2 linked regions of the Saccharomyces cerevisiae S288C genome follow. Changing the gene in region 1 together with any one later gene gives a genetic interaction. Each region holds a gene or a part of one and is shown on either strand. Other genes may lie near its edges.

Region 1 (3,089 bases):
TGTCTGAATAACTCTTCTAATTCTTTACCTGTAGAATTGACAGCTGCATTGGCATTGCAAACTTTTATCAGTGATGACCAGTTTAATATGAAGTTATCCGAACACGTTGTTCCTACTATGCAGAAATTACTAAGTTTGTCTAATGATTTTGAATCTGATGTCATTTCAGGCGTTATGCAAGATTTTGTGGAGCAGTTTGCTGAGCAATTACAACCTTTTGGTGTTGAATTAATGAACACTTTGGTCCAACAGTTTTTGAAATTAGCTATTGATCTGCATGAAACATCCAATTTGGATCCAGATTCCTTCACGAACGTTGATAGCATACCCGATGAATCTGACAAGCAAATGGCGGCGCTAGGTATTTTGTCGACTACGATATCTATTCTGTTGTCTTTTGAGAATTCACCTGAAATTTTAAAAAACTTGGAACAGTCATTTTATCCAGCTGCAGAGTTTATTTTGAAAAACGACATCGAAGATTTCTATCGCGAATGTTGCGAATTTGTAGAGAACTCTACATTCCTACTAAGAGATATCACACCCATCAGCTGGAAAATTTTGGAGCTGATTGGAGAATGTAATAGAAAACCAGATAGTATGGTATCTTATTATTTAAGTGATTTCATGCTAGCCTTAAATAATATCCTCATTTATGGAAGGAACGAATTAAAGAAGAACGAGTTTTACACAAAAATCATATTCGAAATATATCAAAAGGCTGTTACTGCAGAAGATAATTCGTTAGACGATCTTAGAGTGGTTTTTGATTTATCCCAAGAGTTGGTTCTTGCATTAGATGACAGTTTACCTCAACAATACAGAGAGCGCCTACTGGCGGATGTTGTCGGCTCTATTCTAACGCAAAAGAATGAATTGAAAACTAATGTTGTATTTAGTGTGACTGCTTTTAATGTCGTAATCTCAAATATGATAACAGAGCCTTTGATCACGCTTCAGTACCTGAAACAGCAAGGTTGTCTTGAAATCTTCTTTCAAACGTGGATTACAGACTATATTCCGAATTATAAAAGGTGCTATGATATCAAATTATCAGTTCTTGCGTTATTAAAAATTATACTGAAGTTAGAAAGCAACGATTATTCAGTGTTGAACTTAGAAAATTTGGTTCCGCAATTAGGGAGTATTGTTACGCAGTTAGCTTCGAGGCTACCAACGGCGTTAAGGCAATTAGCTAACCAACGCAAGGAATTCTCATCATCCGGTTTTGAAGAGGATACTAAGTGGGATGAAAATTTTCTTGACGTTGGAGACGATGATGAAAATGATGACGAGGGAGACCTTACTGAGAAATATCTGGAACTGATAAAAAATAGAGCCGATTCCTTGGACTTCGTAGATGGTTATGACGCAAAGGAAACTTTCGATGACCTAGAAGAGGACCCATTAACGGGGTCGATCCTGGACACAGTTGACGTATACAAGGTTTTCAAGGAGTCCATTGCGAACTTACAACATGTTGACAGCAATAGATATCAGGGAATCTTGAGACATCTGACCCCGGCTGATCAAGAACTATTCATGGGAATTATGAATGCCTAATTGAATTAAATGGCGATTGTATATTGAAACAAACACTGGATTACATAATTTAGATAGAAGAGAGAGGATATTATGCTCAAAGTTTGTTGCCTTTGCCTCGGCCAGTTGACTTTGATTTGATATCAAGATCTTTTTTTTTTATCTGGAGTCAATGCGATGAACCTAAAAAAATCACAAGCTTTTTTTATCTCTAAGCTGGGGAAAGAATCGTAGTTAAATCGGAAAGAAAAATATCTGAGTTTTGTCAGTCTTTCTTTTGCATAGCCCATCCTTGTACTAGATTTCATAAACATTGATCACTTCAAAATATACTTGTACCAAGATGGCCGAAAATGAGAGAATGTACATCTCCTATAATAATATTCACAAGCTTTGTCAGGGAGTGGCTAAACATATCTTAGCTAGAAACGAAAGACCTGATATTATTATCGCCATCACTGGTGGTGGTATGATCCCCGCAAGAATTATTAGGTCCTTTTTGAAAACTAAAGGACAAAAGAATATTCCGATTCAGGCCATCGGCCTATCTTTGTATGAAGATTTAGGGTTGGATAATAGCGTCGAAACTATCGGCAAAGAGGTCATCAGAACACAATGGCTGGACTTCGGTGCTTTGAACCAACATTTCGATTCCTTAATTGGTAAAAAGGTCCTAATTGTGGATGAAGTTGACGATACTAGAACTACCCTCCACTATGCTGTTTCTGAGCTGGAAAAAGAGATTGCTGAACAACAAAAGGTTTTGAATAGAATGAGTGAGGAAACCGTTATTTCTATCTTTGTTCTACATAATAAGGACAAACCAAAGAGAGCTGGACTACCTGACTCCATGATGAATTCTGGACGTTACATTGCTGCGCAAACTGTCCCTGATAAGTGGTTGTGCTATCCATGGGACGCTGAAGATATCGAAGAACATACCATGCTCGCTAAGGCTCAAGGTCATGACTGATGACAAACAGTATGTTGCGATGGGGTTGCATGTATATAGATACATATAGTTATCATTGGTAATTATTTCATATTTAACCTAAATCTAAAGATAAGAGTGTATTTCTAGTTATCTCATTTTTCCTTGCATTTCTACCATTTGTTGAACTTGTTGATGCATCATCTCTTTTAAATCGGACACATCATTTTCTAATTCCTCCACTTGTTCAGTCTTTTCACCTAATAGTTGTAAGGAGGTTTCCAATTTACTTTGCATCTGCTCAACTCTTTTTAAGAGATCATCTTTCTGTTTATTTACCTCATTGAATTTATCGTTTTCTTCCAGAAGTCTTAAAATCTCATCATTTGCTTTTGTCTTTTCTTTCAGTAAATTATCGTATAATTCCTTTGATGCTGATAATTCACCTTCCAATCTTTTTAACTCCGTACTTAACTTGTTCACCAGATGAGCGCTTATGTGGCCGTTAGAATTCGATAGCTGGACGCTAGCTCTTCTGTATGGTATTGATGTGTTGTTTAACGAGTTCATTGATTCCCCTTCCCTGATTGCTTGTAAAGCAGCGGCCTCTTCTGGA
Region 2 (4,815 bases), on another chromosome or scaffold:
TAAAAGACGACAACGTTGGCGTCGCGAAAATATTAATAGAACCATATGTTGGATAATGTAGCCTCTATTATACACTTATCCCGATTACATTGTTTTAGCGACGGTAATCATCTTTTTATCCGGCACTCTGAATCAAACTCTATCTTTAAGTATCCTATATGCATGAGTTATGTCGATTATATCGAAGACTCGGTGTGTGATATTACTCCACAGTACAAAAACAGGAATACAGAGAAAATTGAAAAGATATATGAACGGATGGTATGGTAAATAAAATAACAGCCATTATAAAGCTTGTGGTAAATTTTCCAGGACGGAAGTTAGCTTATGCAGTTTTGTTTATCTTCCTTGCATCTGTGTATAATACTGAAACACGCAATTAACGTTTCATAAAATTTGCCTGAGGGCCGTATAAAAATTCAGTGACCATTGTTCACACTTTAAATATAGCCAAATTGCCAAGAAAGGGTTTCATTGCAGGTTTATCGAAATATTAACTCTTTAAATACAGGGACTATACAGAGCTAACTTCTTAAGAAAAAAAACCATGCGACACACTACGACTTTCACAAATTCCATAAAAGAGATATTTAAGATTTAGATAAAATATCAAAGGACTGCTGTACTCTGCTTCAATTACCTCCTTACCATAAAGTTATAGGCAGCTTTCTCCATCGACATACTAAAATTTGGATAGGTATTATTAATGAAATGACTAGTTTTAAGTAAAAAATGATCACCAGCATTGATACTCTTCAAAGTACTCAATGGCTTTTGCAGACTTATCTAAAACTATTTTTGCGGTTTCATTCCTCACTTTGTCAACAAAAATAGGAGGTCCACAGCAAACCACAGATAATGAGCCACTCAATTCAGCCGCTTCATGTAGAAGTTCCTTAACATTTGGTCGCCCGCAATGGAAAACAACACCATCAAAACCAAGTGGATTGGCAGACTTTTCTAAAGTAGTTGCCACAACAGTGCCTTTTTCATCAGCCTTCTCATCCTGTTGAGAAATATCTAAACTATCACTAGGGGTTAATGATGGGACTTCCATTGTGTTGTAGATGTGAAGCTGTACATTCAGATTTTCTAAACACATCAACTCCGGCTTATAAGCCTCGAGTACGTCGAATCCTCTAACTGCAATCACTAATTTTACAGATTGTTTTCCAGCAGCCGCTGACGTCTTTCCAAGTTTAATTGCATGTGCAATAGGTCCAGGCAAACCGGTACCTCCAGTGAGTAACAATACATTATTGTAATTATTGACCGGAGATGAAGAACCATATGGACCTTCTATAGCTAGTCTCATAGATGTCTTACCTCCATTGCGACACACATACTTTTTGACAAGTCTTGTTACTCCCTTTTTTTCTTTCAGGATAATAACCAGTTCACCATTCTTGCTTACTGAATCCAAAACAGTAAATGGATGTGACTGCCAGAAGTACAGTGGATGTAAAAACGAAACGAAAACATATTGCCCAGGTTTGGCCCTCCATGGCCTTGCCGGTTTTTTAACTGTTAAACGAATGAGATCATCCCCGATTAGTTGTAGGGAAGCTTTGGGGAAACCAAAATAAGAAGCTTTGATAATTCTAATAATCCGGTCAACGATCCAAATCGCAATAGCAGTGTATATCCACTCAATGCCACTTAAACTAACAACATGCTCCCAACATGCATAAAAGAACATTGCACCAAGGACGATATGAAGAAAAAGAAAGGCTTCATAAAAATACTTCCTGAATACTGCAAAGGAAAAGAAAACCATTGTGCCAGCTAAACAAAGTGCTGCCACCCCGAATTGCCAATATAATCGGTTTTTACTTGTTGCCCAAGTTTTATTCGCTACCGTATAACTAGTATATGCAGAGCCATGAATCATAGCATCCAAAAACATCATTCTTCCCAACCATTTGTGAAACATAATGAAGGAAGTATATTTAACCCCAGAAATATACTCGAGAAAGTTGTTTCTTCCCGCGAAAAGAACTATTAATGGAAAGTGTGCGAATGCGAGTACACCACTTCTGTCTGCCACATATCGAGCAACTTGAACTCTACGAGACTTGAATATTATATTTTCAGGATCGTATTCATAACCGTATGCCAAAAAAACGGTATGAAGCACGAGATATCCAAGAATAATGATACCCTCTAATCTTGTAGGTAAATATCCTGTGAATATTCTAAAATAAGAGAAATCTGACGCATGTTTGCTTCCAATGGTAGGTAGAGTGAGGTATCCCCTTACATATCCCACAAGCTTTTGCTTCAATAGAACAGTTTTAAAGGGAGTGTAATTCATGCAATGAAGAACGCCTGCAAAAGCCATGATAGCGACAAAATAAGCACATATAATGCCACCATATATGTTTCCGACATCTAAGTTAGCATAGAAACCATGCAATGCATGATAGTAGGCTTTTCTTAACTGTGTATCCATTTCAACTGGATATGTTAGGTTTGCACTGCCTTTGACATAGGGCGTCATATGCCTCGTTCCGTTGTTTAGAACGTCATAAAACTCAGAATTAGTCATGTTCTGAAGAGCATCACTATAACTTGCACAGTTTTTTTTGATGGTACTAAATGTTTTTTCTAAGGTTTTATTCGAATAACCTTTTTCATCCAACGTTTCATAGATACAATACAGCATTGATTGAAACGCTGGTTCGTAAGAACATACTGGTGATGAACGCTTAGACTTGCTGGTATACTCCCAAGTAACTTTTTGAAAAATCCTCGTGCAGGCATTAGTGACAAGCAAGGGCACCTTGTTACGAATAACTGTCTTTGCAGGTGATGCTCTTGCTCCTGACAGGCAGAAAAGCAAAATAGCGCTCAAGATGGACGTCCAATGCATTATATTCGTTGGGTTTCATAAGCTTTGGATAAAAAAGACTTTATTACAACTGTAGCAAAAAATCATGTTCATTTTTTGCGACTTATATATTTAGTGGCAAATTAATGATACCTTGCAATAACCGAATTTAGAGTATGTTGTCCAAGAAAGGAGGGATTTTGTTCATCAGAAAAGAATTCAGAAAAGCAAGGAAACAGTACTATCGTTTAGAATGTAGAATGATAGGTTGCTTGCTAATTCTATTATGGCACGAATGATACACCCATATTTTCAACAAAATCAATACCCACTAGCATCATTGAGCCAACTATTTGTCAATGCAACCATTACCGGTACTTCATCCTGATTTAACGAGTCTACTTTTTTATCACGTCAAAATTTACTTGTTTTCCTGTAAACCCGAAATAAAGGCAAAAAAGACCTGGGTGCAATTACGAATAAATGTACAATAATCATCCTGTTTGCATAGTAAACTTCCAGTTAGAGTCACACAACGCAATGAATTTTGACAGTTTTCTGTGCGATATTCTTTGGTAAACGTAAAGAACAGGCAACTTTTGGTACAATGGATTCTAGCCCATATGGTTCATTTCTGGTGCATTCGCAAAGTCAGTATTTGTCTAGCTGTGTTTTCTGGCTGAGAGACATTATGATGTTATTCATTGTTATGGATATCTCTGTAGCTCATGCTGCTTATTTCTCCCTAAAAAAGTTTTTTCTCTCGAATACATTCTTGACCATTTCATAGTGAAATTCTTGTACTTATTTAAAACCAAAAATGGAAGTATTCATACATCCCCCTATCAAAAACACTCAATAAGTTTCGAATTATTCGTTCGTCTAAACAGTGTCCAATACTCAAAGGGGTATTCAAGACGGCACAAAATCAGCATCTTCCCTTATCCGTGTTCCAGAAATACCACGCTAAGGTTTTTCCTCCTACAATCCATAAAATCATTAAGGAGGCAGCTTGAAAAATCTTGAAATTCAAAAGAGTTATCTTGGGCTAATCGAAATTAACGATAACCAGAGTAGAATATTCAAGATCACAGCTCCACCTTAGTTTCGAGGTTGCTCTCAATGGTCTAGCTTAGTCATGCTTTTTGTTAAACAAATCTTGCCTTTTCTGATATTCTATAGTGTGGTCCAATCCAGATATTGGCGCATCCTAAACCAATTATAGTTCACTTATGAAGGGCAAATGAACACTCTTACCAGTTTCACAAATAATTAGTACTAGCTAGGCGGTCAAACTGACTAGCTTATTATAATATTATCGATGTAACATTTTTCCATAGTGAGGGAGGAAAATAAACCTTAAAAAAATATGCAAGGATTCTAGATTTCAGGCTAGTCTTCAACCACTTTGCACTTCCGGATTAAAGGCTTTTATAGAAAACATCTTGGTTTGGGACTATATTGCTAGGTGAAAATTTCAAAATTGTACAAAAGATCATTCTTGTTTTTTTGCCTCATTAGCTGATACAATGCGGAACTACATGGCGCTCTTTTATAAGCATCTACTATGGTACATTCTAAGTATGTGGATCTTGGTTAACACATAGACATTTTTTAACTTCTTGATATCGGTTCCGCTAAATTTGCTGATTATATTTGTTCACTAGGCCAGATCATAATGCCTGTAATATTGAGTACTTAATATCGATACTTGATATCCGAACAGTAAACGTTTGTCCGTAGTCATCGTGACTGTTGACGTATTAACTGCAAGAAATGATGGAAAAAATTTAGGTATATTTGCAGATGAAAACTCTAGAACACTGCCGTTGAAGAAAGAATGGCTTCAGCCGTCATGCTGTCTATCTGTTTGTAAACTTTTGGAAGTTTTACATATTTTGCACTATTTTCTTTAGCACGAGGTATATGTTTCTTTTTCAATAAAAATCGTCCTTTTGAAGAGCCAAGAACACTTTTGATTTGAG

What was found.
Region 2: mutations in XPT1 (region 1) and FRE2 together harm fitness more than expected from each alone (negative genetic interaction), as found in Saccharomyces cerevisiae (one large-scale study listed by BioGRID).

Annotation. Positions count from the first base shown.
Region 1 is NC_001142.9:671,106-674,194, forward strand, and holds XPT1 (xanthine phosphoribosyltransferase), read left to right. Parts: upstream 1-1,885; coding exon 1,886-2,515; downstream 2,516-3,089. Other genes in the region: NMD5 (Nmd5p), read left to right, coding at 1-1,563; SGM1 (Sgm1p), read right to left, coding at 2,624-3,089. UniProt on the Saccharomyces cerevisiae protein: May act as a xanthine phosphoribosyltransferase involved in the synthesis of purine nucleotides. Such activity is however unclear in vivo.
Region 2 is NC_001143.9:8,355-13,169, forward strand, and holds FRE2 (ferric/cupric-chelate reductase), read right to left. Parts: upstream 2,873-4,815; coding exon 737-2,872; downstream 1-736. UniProt on the Saccharomyces cerevisiae protein: Metalloreductase responsible for reducing extracellular iron and copper prior to import. Catalyzes the reductive uptake of Fe(3+)-salts and Fe(3+) bound to catecholate or hydroxamate siderophores.